3 linked regions of the Drosophila melanogaster genome follow. The protein of the gene in region 2 interacts with the protein of the main gene of each other region in a pairwise test. Each region holds a gene or a part of one and is shown on either strand. Other genes may lie near its edges.

Evidence for each region. The genes of interacting proteins can lie anywhere in the genome.
Region 1: the proteins of CG8701 (region 2) and CG17385 interact in a two-hybrid assay, tested with the Drosophila melanogaster proteins (one large-scale study listed by BioGRID).
Region 3: the proteins of CG8701 (region 2) and CG12155 interact in a two-hybrid assay, tested with the Drosophila melanogaster proteins (one large-scale study listed by BioGRID).

The regions. Positions count from the first base shown.
Region 1 is NT_033778.4:14,408,065-14,413,583, forward strand, and holds CG17385 (uncharacterized protein), read right to left. Parts: upstream 3,509-5,519; 5' UTR 3,348-3,508; coding exon 3,279-3,347; intron 3,221-3,278; coding exon 2,661-3,220; intron 2,355-2,660; coding exon 2,147-2,354; 3' UTR 1,737-2,146; intron 1,676-1,736; 3' UTR 1,231-1,675; downstream 1-1,230. Other genes in the region: Sin1 (SAPK-interacting protein 1), read left to right, coding at 3,843-5,519.
Region 2 is NT_033778.4:8,368,424-8,372,963, reverse strand, and holds CG8701 (uncharacterized protein), read right to left. Parts: upstream 1,892-4,540; 5' UTR 1,713-1,891; coding exon 972-1,712; 3' UTR 822-971; downstream 1-821. Other genes in the region: CG2127 (uncharacterized protein), read left to right, coding at 3,044-3,961.
Region 3 is NC_004354.4:7,726,819-7,732,959, reverse strand, and holds CG12155 (uncharacterized protein), read right to left. Parts: upstream 4,206-6,141; 5' UTR 3,770-4,205; coding exon 3,586-3,769; intron 3,299-3,585; coding exon 1,815-3,298; 3' UTR 1,231-1,814; downstream 1-1,230. Other genes in the region: Pdp (pyruvate dehydrogenase phosphatase), read left to right, coding at 79-646, 715-958; NELF-B, read left to right, coding at 4,677-4,808, 4,887-6,141.

The sequences.
Region 1 (5,519 bases), 6.0 Mb from region 2:
GCTGACATTCTCGTTTGGCCAACCACTTGGTGGCCATAATGTGCGGCTAGCAAAGTCTGAGTTGCAGCAGGAACAGCAGTTGCAGCAGCAACATTAATGTCACCGCAGCGACATCAGCAGCACAGGAGTAACATGAAAAGCAACGACTGCTTGAGCTTCATTCTGTGGCTTTTCACACTTTCTGATTCTGACTTGGCCAGGAGTTTGTGGCTTCGGCTGCGGTACTTACAAGCCAAATGACAGGATGCAGAGATCTGATAATGCTAATGCTGATGATGGCCGGATGGAGCACTTGCCAAATCAATGTGGAATATGCGGGTGGCTTTGGGTTGAGTGTCAGACAAAAAATTTCAAATGGAAATTGACTTTTGGTTTGGGGAGTTTTCAGCAGAAGGAAAAAAGCAAGGAAAAATCGTTGCCTAACCCCAGGCGTTGGCCTTAATGACTCAACTGCGTGTGCAAAACTGATGATGCTGTTTGCCTTTGTCAACTTGTTTGATTAAAAAAGGAAATAAGGGAACCGAGGACTCATTAACCGTGGCTGACGTCATAACTGCCACGCCCCCAAATGTTTGAGCACACTGTGATTCGACGGTGATTATTTGCATGCTGTGCACTGCCGAGCAAACAATTGGCCAACACAAAAAAAAAAGGGCGGCAAGTGTTGGCCGGGAAACGGAGCGTTATTGCCACACAATCTCAGCGTGCAAATATTTGAACTGTATAAAAAAGCGCACACACACAAAATTAAATTCCCCAAACGGCGACCTAAAAAGGGGCGGGGCAGAACAAGCTATTGATTTCATTGAAAACACAACCCCTAAATCTGCAGCAAGGATTTTTTACAATAGAAACTGAAACGGAATCGCGGTTTTACATATTTCTGTTTAAGAAGAGATATATATGTACTTTGTTACTAAGTTCAAAAAGGATAATGCTTACACAAAAAATTAAATAATCAATTAAGGAATAGTTTTCAAATTTAAACAGAATACGCTGCATTCCCCTACTATTTAAATAAATTTAATTAAATTAACTTATCAACTCCGATGAGATCAGCATCCTATAAATTAGCTGCAGTTTCTTGCCATCTTCACATGACTGCTTAAACTTATGAGCTGAGATCAGGAGCAGGACATTTACCATAATAAATTTATAACAAATGACATTGGGCAGCTTAATAAATGTGAACCTATTAGTCCGAGGCCCCAAGCAGTGACCATTTAAGCAGCCGCATGCCAATTGAACCAGGCGCACACATGCACAGCCAGAAAATGTGGCAGGACGACGATGTGGACATGAAATATTATTTCCCTGTGCGAGCGGAAGTGTGAGTAGTCCGGGGAGTCAGATGTATAAATAGTTTGATTTAGTGCCGCAAAAACGATGACTGCGAAGGCCACAAGGACATGGTCAGAGCGAGCGGTGGATGCTGATAGCAAGGACTGTGCGATCAATTATTGCTCCATGACTGCTGGCGGGTAAACAAGTCAGGAACGTGCCTTTAATTAGTTTCAATCAAATAGTCGAGAAATCACATGTATAAATTATAGACCCATCGGGCGATTCCTTTACCTTTCTTCTTCGAACTTAACGAACAACAGTGAGTGGTAACGTGACTATTTGGGCAAACATATTTGTCACATTAATGACGCAAGAATGTTGGCCTGACAAGCTGGAAAAGGGACAGTTTTACGGCTGTGCGAAATGTGTCATTAAAGCGACAATTTACGCACTGTGAGGTTTTGGGACTTGCGAACGAGAGAATTGATGATGTGACTCGGGAAAATCCAGCGAATATCATACATATGCTCATAAAATGGCACATCATAAAGGGTGCAGTTAAAACGTCTTTAGGGTCCGTAAATCGACGGGTTAGCCTGATTCACGCAACAATGTCAACAGAGATCGGATCGATTAGCAACAGGGATAGCGAAGGATTCGCATTGGTTATCTGCATATTTATTGCATTTATTGGTGTAATTCAATGGAGAACTATGTTGGCCTGCATATATATTCATATCTGTATATTCAATGCAATATTCTTCACATTCCATCTTTCCGTCGGAATCGCCGCTATTTGTATGTTTAGGTGTGAGTTGGGTTGTGTGTTTTCGTGGTATTTCATTTAAAATTATTGCCATTTCTAATGTGTAGTCTCAATTATGATTTCGTGCGTATCCAGATCGGGCACGGCAAACTTCATGGGCAAATAGTCGTCTGGATGCATGTGGGACATCTGGTTAACCTCCAGCTGGGCCCTTTCGTGGTCCTCATGGCACTTGGCTTCGTGCTTCTCATAGTCAGCGAAGGTATCAAAGATGGCCCGACACACCATGCATTCGAAAAAGCTTCTGAAAATGAAATGTTTTAATTCAATAATAAAATTCACAACAAGCAAATGTAGAAGGATCAAGGATAGTTTTGAGGCTAGTCAATTAATATATAAAAGTATTGATTGGGAACGTGTACACCTTCAAAAATGCATATAGTATTAATTGTTCATAAAAGGGAAATGAGCACAGTTAAGCACACTAATCAGCACCGAATCTAATCATGACCCGTCGATAATCGGTGTCGAATAGGCAACTTAAGGTAGGTCTGAACAGGTTGAACTAATCAAAGGGCACCTTGATCTTCTACAGCCGGCAAGTACTCACGGTTTCTGCTCCGACTCAAGCCGTTCCCTGGCCAGGGCGGCAGCCGCCTGGATAGAGGCGGGCACGTCCACATCGACGCCCTCCTTTATGTGCGACTGCAAGTGGCGCTTAAAGTTTGACAGCTGGGTGAAGCCCTTCTCGCAGTAATTACACTGGTAGGGCTTGGCGTTGAGGTGGCCAAGCTTGTGTTTCTTGAGGTTAACCAGCTGGGAGAAGTACCTGCCGCATCGCTGGCAGCGGAACGGCTTCTCGCCAGTGTGTGTCATCTTGTGGCGCTTCATGTTGCTCTGCTGGGTGAAGGACTTGTTGCAGAAGTTACAGGTGAATGGCCGCTCCCCGCTGTGCACCGCATAGTGGCGCTGCAGGTTCACAGCCTGGGCGAAGGCCTTCGAGCAAATGTTACACACGAAAGGCCGCACATCGTTGTGCACCTTCATGTGACGATCCAGGTTCCCCGAATTGCAGAAGCTCTTCGCGCACAGCTTGCACTCGTAGGTGGTCTTGTTGTGGTTGTGCACCTCTTGTCGATGCAACGTCTGATCCCGCTTGCTTCTGAAGGTCTGCATCAATGGATAGTGGTTAGATTGAGGTAATAGGAGACATTTCCCACACACTTACTCGGTCGCAGCGCTTGCAGCTGAACTGATTGGCCACCGTCTCGTCGAATTCTACCTCCATGCCCGCCATTTCGCCGTTGGCTAGCACATCGACTCTATCCGATTGGGAGTTCTCAAGAAGTGGACATCGAAAAACGGCAGGTCAGGCGACGATAAACTCACTATAATTAACTTATTCTGTAACTCGGCAATTTTTCGCGTCCAGAAAAAAGTCATATGGTGGCCTAGAGTGACCGTTTGCGTTGAATGAAAAAAGACCAGATTTAACGAGTACCGCTACAACTAGACTTGCATGTAAATTCAAAATATTACTTTGATAATAAGTACTTGGTATAACCTTTATCTTAATTGCATAATTTAAGTATATTCATGTAGTAGGTATTCCTCTTATGTTCTGTTGGGAACGGTGACTTGTGCGTGCTATTCGTTACCACCACCAAAAAGTGACCAGTAACAACCGCAATGTTCCATCTCTAGATAATCCAAAGGCGTTAGTGCATTTTTCCGAGATGCTGAGATAAATAGAAATTAATTTTGAAAAAGAGATTTTCTTTTGTTTACTACCATGGCGACCTACTCCAACCAGCATTGGCTGCTCTCCCACATCCGCAACTCCTTCATATCCACGGACGACACCGGAATGTGCGAGACGGTGATGCTGAGCGATGACATGCCCAAACACTATTTGCGAAAATTCGGTAACTCGGGCGCTGGAGGAGATCACTATCATTGGCGACGGGCGCACAAGACACCGCCGACGGGGGGCGGGACAACACCGGAGCGGAACACCCGGCATCCGGATGCGCCACTCCAGGAAGTGGACTTCATCTGCTATCCGGGACTGGACCTCAGCGACGACGAGGAGGACATGTCCACGCACTCCTTTGACATCCAAATGTATCCGGAGGTGGGCGCCCACCGCTTTCGCTCCAACACTGCCCAAAAACTAGAGAAACTGGATATTGCCAAGCGAAGGGCGGCGCGCATCAAGAGTGTTAACTACCAGGAGGAAGTGCAGCCACCGGAGAGCGATGATTTCTTTAAACGCAAAGAGTTGCCCCTCAGCAAAGCTGAGCGAGTTAAAAATGAACCGAAAGCCAACGACGATGATCTGTCAGATGAGGGTGTTCAGAGCCAGCTCACTGAACAGTTGGCCAAAAGTCCAAAGCAAGCACAGAATCGCTTCATTGAATTCGCCCGCTTCGATGGCACCTCCCAAGTGGGTATGCAAACGAAACGGATAAACGTGTTTTTAAATATGCTTCCCGAGCCGGATCGCAACTACCCGTTGAAGATCTGCGTCGTAGCCACTGCCAAAATCCAGGAGGTAATTGGTTTTGTCTGCTACAGGACCTCCTTACAATATCCCGACGTTCCTTTGAAGTCCCTGCAGCATTACGCTTTGTATATGACAGAGGATAATGATGATATGGAAGACTTCCCACCGTTGGACAATCGCGAACCCTGCTCTAAGTTTGGCTTCTCCCAACTGACCCTCGCAGAGCGTCGGCCATTGGCTCCAGTGACGCGAGTTGATTACCACAGCCAGCTGGGCAGTAAATCCATGACTTCCGTGGAAGACAAGACAGCTCTGTCCGATGCGGCTGTCAAGGCTCTGCAAAATATTAGCCTAAATGGAGGAACTAGTGATCCGGGTGGAGGAGGTGGAGGAGGCGATAGTCCACACGATAATGTCAAGGAGTATGAGAAGCGATTGTTGAATCACAACGATATGCTGGAAGCACCCATGCATCGTACTTTCCGCCTCAACATCATCGACAAGAGGTTCTTCAAATCCGATGTGACTCTGGGAATATCTGGTGAGAGAATAGAGATCGATCAGTGCAAGAATGCCAAGTTCTGGCCGCAGAAGAAGCCCGTATCCACTCCCATTGACTTTGTTGCTCACTGCGAGATTTTGGAGCGACGCCACCTGAAGGCTCTGTTGCGCATCTGGCTGAAGTCAAACTCCTCGTCCCCTTCCTTCTCCACGGGCTGCACTTCGGCGCCGATCAACGCCAGCGTAACCACACTGAATGCGGGAAGCGGCAGTGGTGGGATTGCCCACTCGCCCAGCAGTCCGGGTCACTCTTCCGGACTCTTTTCAAGCAGCAATATTCGCTTTAAGCACTACGACTTCGATACGGACACCCACACGGCGGAGCAGATCCACAACAAGCTGAACTGCATACTAGAGATGCGATCCAGCGATCTGAGGCGCGAGTTCCTTTTGCAGCGCGAT
Region 2 (4,540 bases):
CCCCGGGGGCAACGCAACCGCTTCAACACATCCCCACTCTTCCCCATCCAAAATCCCCCATTCTCAAATCCCAGGTTCTTAGCCTGCCTATGCAAATCAGCTGCGGCATAAATAATGCGACATCATTATTTAGACGAAGGTAGGCGCACAACACGAATCCTCTTTTCGGATTCGGATCCAGATCCAGCCAGAACATTTCTGTCGCCAGTCAGCGATCCATCAATTATGTCTGCAGCTGGGGAAGATTCGTCGTCTTCGGAGCTGCGGAGCCGGGCCTTGTCTCATTTCGATTGTCTTCGGGAGAAGGCTCCTTCCGCTCCCCTTTTGATTATGCACATGCATTTCGGCTCGTACATCAAACTCGAACTCGAATAAATGTGACGGCCTGCATGCATTCAAAGTTAAAGGAAATACGAAAAGGGAGAGGGACGTCCAAAAAGCAACAGCCAGGGGAATATGCTGATGGATGCCGGGTATAACTGATTTGTGTGTACTCGTATATATCTGAATTGGTAATTTGCTATAAGCGACTTTAATATGGCACGCAGTTGTACGCCATCTCCGCATCCCCTCTTCGAGACACTTTGCATACTCATCCAGAGTCGGGCAAATGTTTTCGATTTACATGGCTAAGTAGCAACGGTCCAGGTTTTCAAAACCAAAATATATAACACAAAAACTATTTTCGAGCGGCGAGTAAACCAAATGCGCATAACAATCTTATGCAACCAGACTCCATAGTAGCCATGTGTGCATTTAATCCTTCCCCTAGGAGATTGTTATAAATATTTTATTGAATGAAAGATCAATGCTATCTAATTAAATAAATTTAAAAATCATAGTTCGGTTTATTTCTAGTCTGAATTTTACGCACGGTAGAAAAGTTACTTTAACTGGATCGGTTTGGAATATTTAGGTCAACGGAACAAGATACTGAGCGCTGGGATTAGGATTCAAACAGCACTATGGAATTAAGCCCTACTGCCCCCGCAGTTTGGCTTCCGTGGATTTCCTTCGAACTTCTTCAGCTCACGAATCAGGTCACAGGAGCTTGGAACATCTAGGCAGTTGCATTCAACGCCCCGAGGCTTGCGAAGACGAGAGCGGCTGCACTCGGAGAAGGAAGGATAGGGGGCCTTGACTTTGACGCAGTCGGTCTTACGTCTAACGACGTGGCAAGAGACGCTGTCTACGGCCTTACAGCCGGGCATCTTGATTCTAGGGCAGGGTCCTCCCTCCGTGGGGCATTCGACATTCGTGGGACACTCGGCGGATGTCACGAACTTCTTGCGCTTGCGCCTTGGGATCGGCGGACGAATTCCCGCCTCGTAGCAGCAGATCTTCTTGGGCTTTATCTTTATGGGCGGACACTCCACCCAGGTGACCTGGTACTTGCGCGTGGCCTTGTCAGAGATCTTGTAGTAGCATTGGTCGTACGGGGGGAACCGTTCCGCGCAGGGATCGGTGCAGCACTCCGGCGGCTGCTTCACCAGATGATGGAACTGGAAGCCGTCCTCCTTCTTCGGCGGTGGTTTCTTCGCGAACCGGGGGTCTCCACAAGCGGTAAAATTACCGCAACCCTTTCCAGAACTGTCACTGCACTTTGGAGATGGATTGTGGTCCTTTGCGAAAGCGCGATGGCAGACCACGCTCGCAAAGCTGGGTATTACTCGATTTTGGGTTTTCGTTCCAATACTGCGCCACATAGACATGGCTGGATACGGGCTGATATAAATTTCTCGGGGGGGAAAGAAAGGTATCGCTAAATACAACAATCCCGAAACAAAAATGAAAATCCCTCGGCACCGAAAAATGACCAAACTACAAATTTGTAACCGAATACACAATCAGCTCAACGGAGCCGATGTGAATTTTGGAAGAGGCCGAGAGGAACTGGCATACAAAGTTATTCGACATGGCTACATCGCATCGAAGTAAATTTCAAGGCATCCTTTTCAGAATATTATTATATAGAAAGAGGAAATACTCTGTTAGCGCAGAGTACTCCATATTTATACATAAAAGAAAAAAAACCCTACAGTCGTTTTCTCCGTAAATCACATACCACTTATTCTGCTAGTACGAAAATTGTGACGAAATAGATTTACAATTGGTCAAAAATAAACTGAAATCCAAATAAAAACAAGAGCCATTACTCAGCAACATGGGTCAACTTCCGCTGCGTCAATGTCTCTAGAATCTGTATGCTAAACCTTATAGCTTTTATAGTTCCTGAGATCGAGACGTTCATATGGACAGACGGACATGGCCAGACCGACTCGGCTATTGAGTCTGATTAAAGTATATATATTACTTTATGGGGCCGGAAACGCTTCCATCTGATTGTTACATACATTTTTAAACGAATCTAGTATACCCATTTACTCTAAATATAATAATATAATATAAAATAAAATAAAAAGTATAATAAAATTTTCTTCAGCACTTAGGTCGCGAAAAGTATTTGGAGACAGGTTCTGCGGCAAATTCTACCAAAACCATTTTGTGCTGCGCTAACGTCTTTAGAGTCTGGTTGGTCAATCCAACCTGCATACCTTTTTAAGTGCCCGACATGGCCTGATTGGGAATGAACATGTATATAGAGTCGGAAATGCATCCTTCTGCCATTTACTTACGTTTCATCGTATTTAGTATACTCTACTAGTAGCGGGTACGATAATACCATTCCCACAAGTTTGCAAAACTTCATAGATTTTACTATAAATTCTCTAAGATATTTAAAATATGTATATCTTAAGTTATATACTCGTTTCCCTGAAAAGCAAATTGAGATGAGGAAGAGGAACCCTCACAAAAGTGGGGAAAAAAAAGGCACTGCAACTGGTACAACAGGTGTAGCTTAGATATATCTAGAGGTCTTTTAGAATTTGTATTCCAAATTTCCTATAAAGTATGCTGTGAATGCCCACTCCGAGCTGAGGATGTCGGGTTTTAGTTAGTCTACACTCAGTCCTTGGCCTAACATAACATATTTTCGACTATTTTCGGCTTTGTAAAACAAAATTTGGTAAAAAGGTTCAATATGTTGCGAATGTTGCGTCAGAAATGTCGTTCCCTCGTAGATCGGAGCATGCCGTGCCTGGAGTCTTTGGTAAATGCCTGTTCTCTATTCAAGGTCGATTGGTCCAAGAATCTGAGCCAAATCAAAACCCCGGCCGACTGCGTTGGCTCCAGTGTGCTCCGGCAGCACCTGTTACGCCGCAACTACAGCAGTCAGTCTTCCGCCGATGATTGCGGGCGGCCAAAGGATTGCGATCAGGTATCGACCTCCAAGGGCTGTGGTCCTGCTCGGTTCAAGGGCACCATTTGCGATGCAGTCAAGGGCGGTAAGCGCAAGAAGAAGGAAGAGCCCAAGAAGGAAAAGTCCAACAAGCCGAAGCTGCCAGCAAAGATGAGGTCCATGTGGTATATACCCGACTGCGAGTACGTGCCAAAGTGCGATGTGCCAGTGCGGTACGACATCCAGCACTACCGCATATCGGACAAAGAGGCCCGCCAGTACCAGGTGACGTGGAACGAGTGCCCCCGGTTGGTGATCAAGCCCAAGAAGGTGTGCATCCACGCAAAGCGACCGCGTCCGAAGCCCTGCCGCCGTCAGCGGAAGACGGTGGTGGCCACAGCCCGTCCCACGATGCCCATGCTTAATCCCATGGAGTGCAAGAAGGCAGAGGACTCCTCACCCTGTCCGCGCTGGACTCTTCCCTGCTGCAAGCCCGCCCGTATTCCGCCCAGTTGCCACCGAGAACGCCGACCTACCGACTGTACCAAGCGCCCGGCGCCGTATCCCAGCTTCTCAGAATGCAAGCGGGAGGAGCTCACTAACGCACCACCTACAGAGTGCCTATGCCTTCGAGTTCCCATGGCCTGCGAGATGTGGGCGGAGCTGAGGCGAAGGATCGCCCGTGGCAAGGGGGCAGTCCTTAAGTGTGGCGAAACGTAGGCGGCGGCGAAAGCACAGTCATTCGACATCTGGCCACAACATTCCGGTCACTTTTCCAACTCACAATCCACCAAAATTACAGTTTTCCAAAATAGCCAATTCATTCCATTCGCACTCCACAATCCACAATCCACAATCCACACTTTCCAAATTCAAAATGCTGTTAAAACGCTGCGGGAAAACCCTAATGCCAGTCGTCGTCCGATTGGCCAGCTGTGCCAGCTCCAAGGGCGGCACCTCGGACTCCAAGTGCAACTCCAATTCGAAGGATAAATGCAAGCCGGAGCCCAGCTGCAAGCGCTCCGCGAAGAGGAAGAACTGCTCCAAGGTCCCAACACCATTCCCGAGCTACTCGGAGTGCAAGCGAAAACAGACTGACCCTAATCCTTCCAAGGAGTGCGATTGCTGGGACTTTGACAAGTGCTGATCCCCGGCAATTTGGATACCGGAGCTCCGGGGATGTCTCTCGCTTATGGCCCTCCCACATTTTCATTCCATAAGACTGAGGACTCTGTACTCATAATCCCGTTGGTGGCACTGGGAGCCTAGGTGTTTTGTCCATGTCCAACCTTTGCAGTT
Region 3 (6,141 bases), on a different chromosome or scaffold from region 2:
TATAAGTTGCCATCCCGTTTCATACTTTCCTCTTCATAGGGGCTTCATTTCTAAACTATAAATGTGTTTATTTTCCAGGAGCCGTTGCCTGTTTGGTTCACATTGAGGGACTGCAGATGCACGTGGCCAGCACGGGTGATTGTGGCGCAGTGTTGGGCGTTCTTGATCCCCAGACGCAGCAGTGGCACTCAAAGAAGCTTAACATCGAACACAATGCTGACAATATGTCCGAGGTGCGTCGCATTCTGGCCGAGCATCCCAAGGAGGAGCATGAGACGGTGATCCGAAACGGCAGGCTGCTTAGCCAGCTGGCGCCGTTGCGTGCCTTTGGGGACTTTCGCTACAAGTGGTCCCAGGAAATAATGCAGCAGAAGGTGCTGCCGATGTTCGGCGTGCAGGCAATGGCGCCGAATTACTATACGCCACCGTACCTAACCGCCCGCCCCGATGTCCAGCAGCACGAATTGGGGCCCAACGACAAGTTTCTAGTCATCGCCAGCGACGGCCTATGGGATTTCCTTCCGCCCAGCGAGGTGGTCAGCTTGGTGGGGGAGCACATCAACTCCAAAAAGATCCTCGAACCGATGCGCCTGCCGGAAGGCGATACAACGCTGCAGGAAATCTCTCAGCAGCTGGCCGAAAGAAAGTCAGTTATCCTTTAAATGTATGCTTGTTATTTATTTATTTATTAATTACGCTTTTATTGCATTGCAGGGCTGGCCTCACTCGCAAACCCGTAGACCAAAACGCGGCCACGCATCTCATCCGGCATGCTTTGGGCGGCACCGACTATGGGATTGAGCACTCGAAGATCTCGTACTATTTGACGCTGCCCAGGGACGCGGTGCGTCTGTATCGCGACGACATCACAATCACTGTCATCTACTTTAACTCGGAGCACATTGCCAAGCTGCACAGCGATGTGGATCAAACGGAGGTCACTGCGCCGGTAGCATGATCTCTGCGAGAGTGCATATGTGTATATTTAACGAGCCTAACCTTCAGCCGAACTAGCCTAAGTGTTGCGTTTAAGTTTGTTTCATCCGCCATCGGACCTCGGACGACTGCTGCGCCAAATAAATCGCACGCGGAAAGCGAAAAATCACATATGCAAATTGTCTTGTTATTCATAAAGAGCGATGATCGGTCGTCTCATTTGTTAATAAAATAAAAATGACATGAAAATCCCAGCAAATATGTATATATCAAGGGTTATAAGCAATCAAGAAGGTTTCTTCATATATTTATTTCTCAAATAGTTCGTGATTTTGTAAAGTAGATACTATTTTTTCTTTTAAAGCAAGTACTTATATTAATTTTTGCTGTTTAAAATTTACAAGCAATTCGTAATGTATATAATCTAATTCAATTTAAAACTTCTTATTCTATAATTTACGCCAATTTTCTTGTTTTCAATTTAGTTCGGTCTATAAAACGGGGGGGAAACCAGGATAATCCTAAGACTTAGGTATAGATCATCTGTTGCAAACAAGCTATTCAACTTTAAGAATTTCGAATTGTGTAGTTTTCGAGAATCGATTTATTTTCTTTTATTTCCAATTACAATTGATTGTAACGCTGGCTAATATATATGTATATATATTTTTACTCGAATGGATGGTGTAGAGGGGTGAAGGATACAGGGATCCGGGGTTTCGTGGGTGGAGGATAAAGCTAATTGAAGAACGCGGAATCCACGAACTTGCAAACTGGTAAACGGTACGCATCCTAATCCTATACATGGAAAAAACTAGGCAACTACTCAGGGATCGTATTGGTTGTTTTTTGGGGAACATAACTAAAAACAGGTGTCCCTAATCCTTGCCATCCTGTTCGGCCGCTTCCTGCCGGCTGACACAGTTGAGGAACTCCATCTGAATGTGCGTAATCTGTGTCTTGCTGAAGCACTGCATCTTCTTCTTGAGAAAGTCAAAGAACAGATCGAGCTCATCACGCTTGGCCAGTGCCTGGGCCACTTGTTGCTGCTGATGCTGCTCATCCTCCTTGATGAGATTGTTAGAACTGCTGGCCGCCGCACTAACGGCCAATGGCTGGCCAGATCCGCAGTTCAAGGGGGGCATCTGAATGATCGTGGCCGTCGGCGTGGATGTGAAGGATGTGGTATTGCACAGCGCCGCTGCTGGCGTGGTAGTCACGGTAGTCGCATTCAGAGAAATGGCCGGCGTGCTTGAAATCGTCACACTGGTACTGGTCGCCTCTGTTACATCCACCAGGGAAATTTGCTGCGTTGACACTGAGGAATCATGACGATTGGTTGATCCACCGCCCCCAGCCGCAGGAGACGTGGTTGTTACCAGCGTGAGATTCTTTACCTTGCCATCGGTTACCACAGTCCCACCGGTTAGGACACTATTTGAGCCATTGCCCGATCCACCGCTGGCCGAGAACTGATGCTGGCTGGAGCGAACTGTCTGTGGCTCAATGTCCGATATGCAAAATTCGTGTGTATCGATGTAATGGAAACCCTTGCCGTGGGTAACATCGCTACCGCCGTCCACGGCGTCACCCACACCAATTTCGCAATCCACATGGGCACCGCTGGCCTCCTCGTACAGGCACACCTCTTCGTAGTCCACCTCGGCGCCGGTTGCCCCGTCCTCGTCCAGTTCGTGCTTCACAATATCCAGCTGACCGTCGTGGTCGACCACATCATCTTCGTCATCGACATCATCGACCACATCGTCATCGTGGGCAATCTGGGAGAGCTCAATGCTGGAGATGCTGCCGTCGTGCTGCGACTGATGATGATGGTGGTGGTGGTGGTGGTGCGGCTGGTGATGATGCTCCTGCTGGTGATGGCCATGATGATGGTGATGGTGGTGCTGCGATACAGTGTCATCCGAGACGCCCTCCTCGTAGGCGGTCAGGATGAAGGTTTCCGCCTCATCGCTGACCAGGGTGATCTGCGAGGTGCCGTGATGTGAGGAGAGCGTGGCGGTATCGTGATCCGATTGCCCGTCATCGTCCATCACCTCGTCGTCGTCATCGTCCACATGCTGTTTCAAATGCAGCATAGCTCCAATGGGCAATGTGGTACTATTCGCGCCTCCAATGCCTCCACCGGCGCCGGCAACCCCACTCGTCTCATAGGTGATCTGTGTGTTCCGGTGCGATTTCAGTTTCGGCTGGTACACCTTCGACAGGAAGTCCAGCTCCTTGGCGTAGCGCCACTTGGATAGCCGCCCTTCGATGTACTTGGGCGTGCGCAGACGGTACTGGTGGAAAGTGTCCCGCAGGTTCTTCCACTTACGACGCACCTCCTGCACCGTGTACTTGTCTGGAAGAAAGAAAGAGGTAGTATAAATATGAGCGGGGTTTCAAAGGAATCGTATTCCTTTTACAGATAATTGATACAAGCTAGAACCTCTTCAAAGGCATCACATTTATGAAAACGTTTCTAAGTAACGATGAAATTATGAGTTGTGTTATAGTAGCCGGCGCCAGAACACTAGCCTATCAATACAATATGCATGTGGTATTTAAAACCAACTTTAGCGGAAGCTTATATTAATTCTGGAAGAAGGCTAATAGTCGGACATGAAGCAGGCCATGACTAGCACTCACTTCCTATCTGCTGGGCCACCTCCTGCCATCCGTTGAGGACATCGGAGCGGCGTCGCTGGTTCGGCTGCAGTTTGTAGTTGTAGAGAACCGGATTCTGGCGCACCAGGTTGATCAGCGTAAGGATGTCGTCCGTGGGCGCGTTGTCCTTGTGGTAGCGCTTGCGCTCTTGCGTCGACGAGGACATGTTGCTTCAGCTTCTGTGGGTTTCCACTGTTGTGCTCTCCCAAATCCTGATGATCCTTATCCCGATACCAATGCTGCTCCTCACATTCAGGTGTTTTGTTTTTGTTTACCCACGAAAAGAGAGGCTTTCGTTCTCGTCGAAATGCACGCACAAACACATACACAAGCGCACTTGAACGGAGCCAAACACCAGCTTATGTAGGTGTAGGAACACGCACGCACACACTCTCGCACACTCGATGCAAAGGATAGCGACTGTGTGCAGCAGGATCTCCTTTGTAGTCGCTACGGGGCACGAATCTCGGCAAGAATCGAGACGCCTTGTCCTTGGCGTTCAGCTCCAATTGTGCGAATTTGACTGCACTTGATGCTCTTGCTTTGCTTTTGGCTGTTTTTGCTGTTGCTTATTTCGCGCTAGGGATGACACATCGCGGAATTGGCGTTCTCTTTCGCCGTCACTGAAAAGCAAAAGTCCGTTTCCCTGTATTTATAATCCTCAATTAAAAGTTACGTTCTTATACAATTAAGTCGTATGGGAATGATGTTCTAAGGCAAACTAATTAAAGGTTTTTATTTTTTGAGTTCAGTTTTTTTACCAACACTATTAGAAATTAGACTTATATTGTATTTGTGGCCCATATAATTTTTTTTTATTATCTTTATTAATTTTTGTAACATTTACCATTCTACCAATAATAATAATACAACTATTTGTTGGCAAAATAATATTAATAACTACATGTTAAACATACAAAGTTGGCTATTACAAGCCGTGCTGATACGTGCACTATCGATAACACCGCACATGTGCAAGCCTGCGCTTATTTTTTTGTCTCCTCGCTAGCAATAAAAAACAACACAATTGTGTAGCTTCGTGTCTTGTTTTGCTCAATTTGCCGACGAATTGCATGATAATGAGCACACCGGCGAAAAATAACAATGGAACTGGACTGGAGGACGTGAATATTCCGGGTCAGGCCTATCTGCGCGAGGCCCTGACCTCCTGCACTGATCCCTTGAAGGCCATCGAGAGTTTTCAGGTTTGTTTACGTTGCACCGAAAAATGGGCGCCAAAAGTTCGGTGGGCTTATTTATCCAAATATCACCTGCCTTTTTAGCTTGAGAATGGTGTATTGCTGCCTTCACTGCGCCCCATGTTGCCTTTACTCGATTTGCACGGCGTGCGTCGACTGGACTTTCATACCTCGCTGATGGAGGAGCTGCGCGACAAGCTGATAGCTCACATCAACGAGATGGGCCAAAAGGAGCCCCGGGAGCGGGACAAGAAGCTCAAGGAGCTGCTCGTTAAGAGCTTCCCCGTCGTTCGGGTGAAGTCGCTGCGGCCCGTGGTCATGGCCATATTGAGGAATACCCAGCACATCGATGACAAGTACCTCAAAATCCTTGTAAGGGATCGGGAACTGTATGCGGACACGGATACGGAAGTTAAGCGGCAGATATGGCGTGATAATCAATCGTTGTTTGGTGACGAGGTGTCGCCTCTCCTCTCACAATATATTCGCGAGAAGGAGCACATCCTGTTTGATCACACCAACTTGAACAATCTGTTCTTCCACCCAACGCCCAAGGTGCGAAGGCAGGGGGAAGTAGTCCAAAAGTTGGCCAACATGATTGGCACCAGTGTCAAGCTGTACGATATGGTGCTGCAGTTCCTGCGCACTCTATTCCTGCGCACCCGCAATGTTCACTATTGCACGCTGCGTGCAGAGCTACTGATGGCCTTACACGATCTCGAGGTGCAGGAGATCATCTCGATAGATCCCTGTCACAAGTTCACCTGGTGCCTGGACGCCTGCATAAGGGAGAAGAATGTGGACATTAAACGTTCACGGGAGCTCCAGGGATTTCTTGACAACATCAAGCGCGGTCAGGAGCAGGTTCTGGGCGATCTGTCCATGACTTTGTGCGATCCGTATGCCATCAACTTTTTGGCCACGTCGGCCATCAAGATATTGCATCACTTGATCAACAACGAGGGCATGCCGCGTGACAATCAGATACTCATCCTGTTGTTGAGAATGTTGGCCTTGGGCTTGAGTGCCTGGGTGATGATCGATTCGCAAGACTTTAAGGAGCCCAAACTTGATTGCCAGGTGGTCACCAAGTTTTTGCCCGCCCTCATGTCGTTAATGGTTGACGACCAGTGCCGCAGCTTGCACGCGAAACTACCGCCGGACGAGCGTGAATCTGCTCTGACCACCATCGAGCATTCGGGACCGGCACCGGATGCCGTGGAGGCGTACATTCAAGAGAGTTCCGTGGCCAGCATATTGGCCATGTACTATACGCTGCACACGGCGCGCCTGAAGGATCGCGTGGGCGTGTTGCGCGTCTTGGCCATTCTGTCCGCCT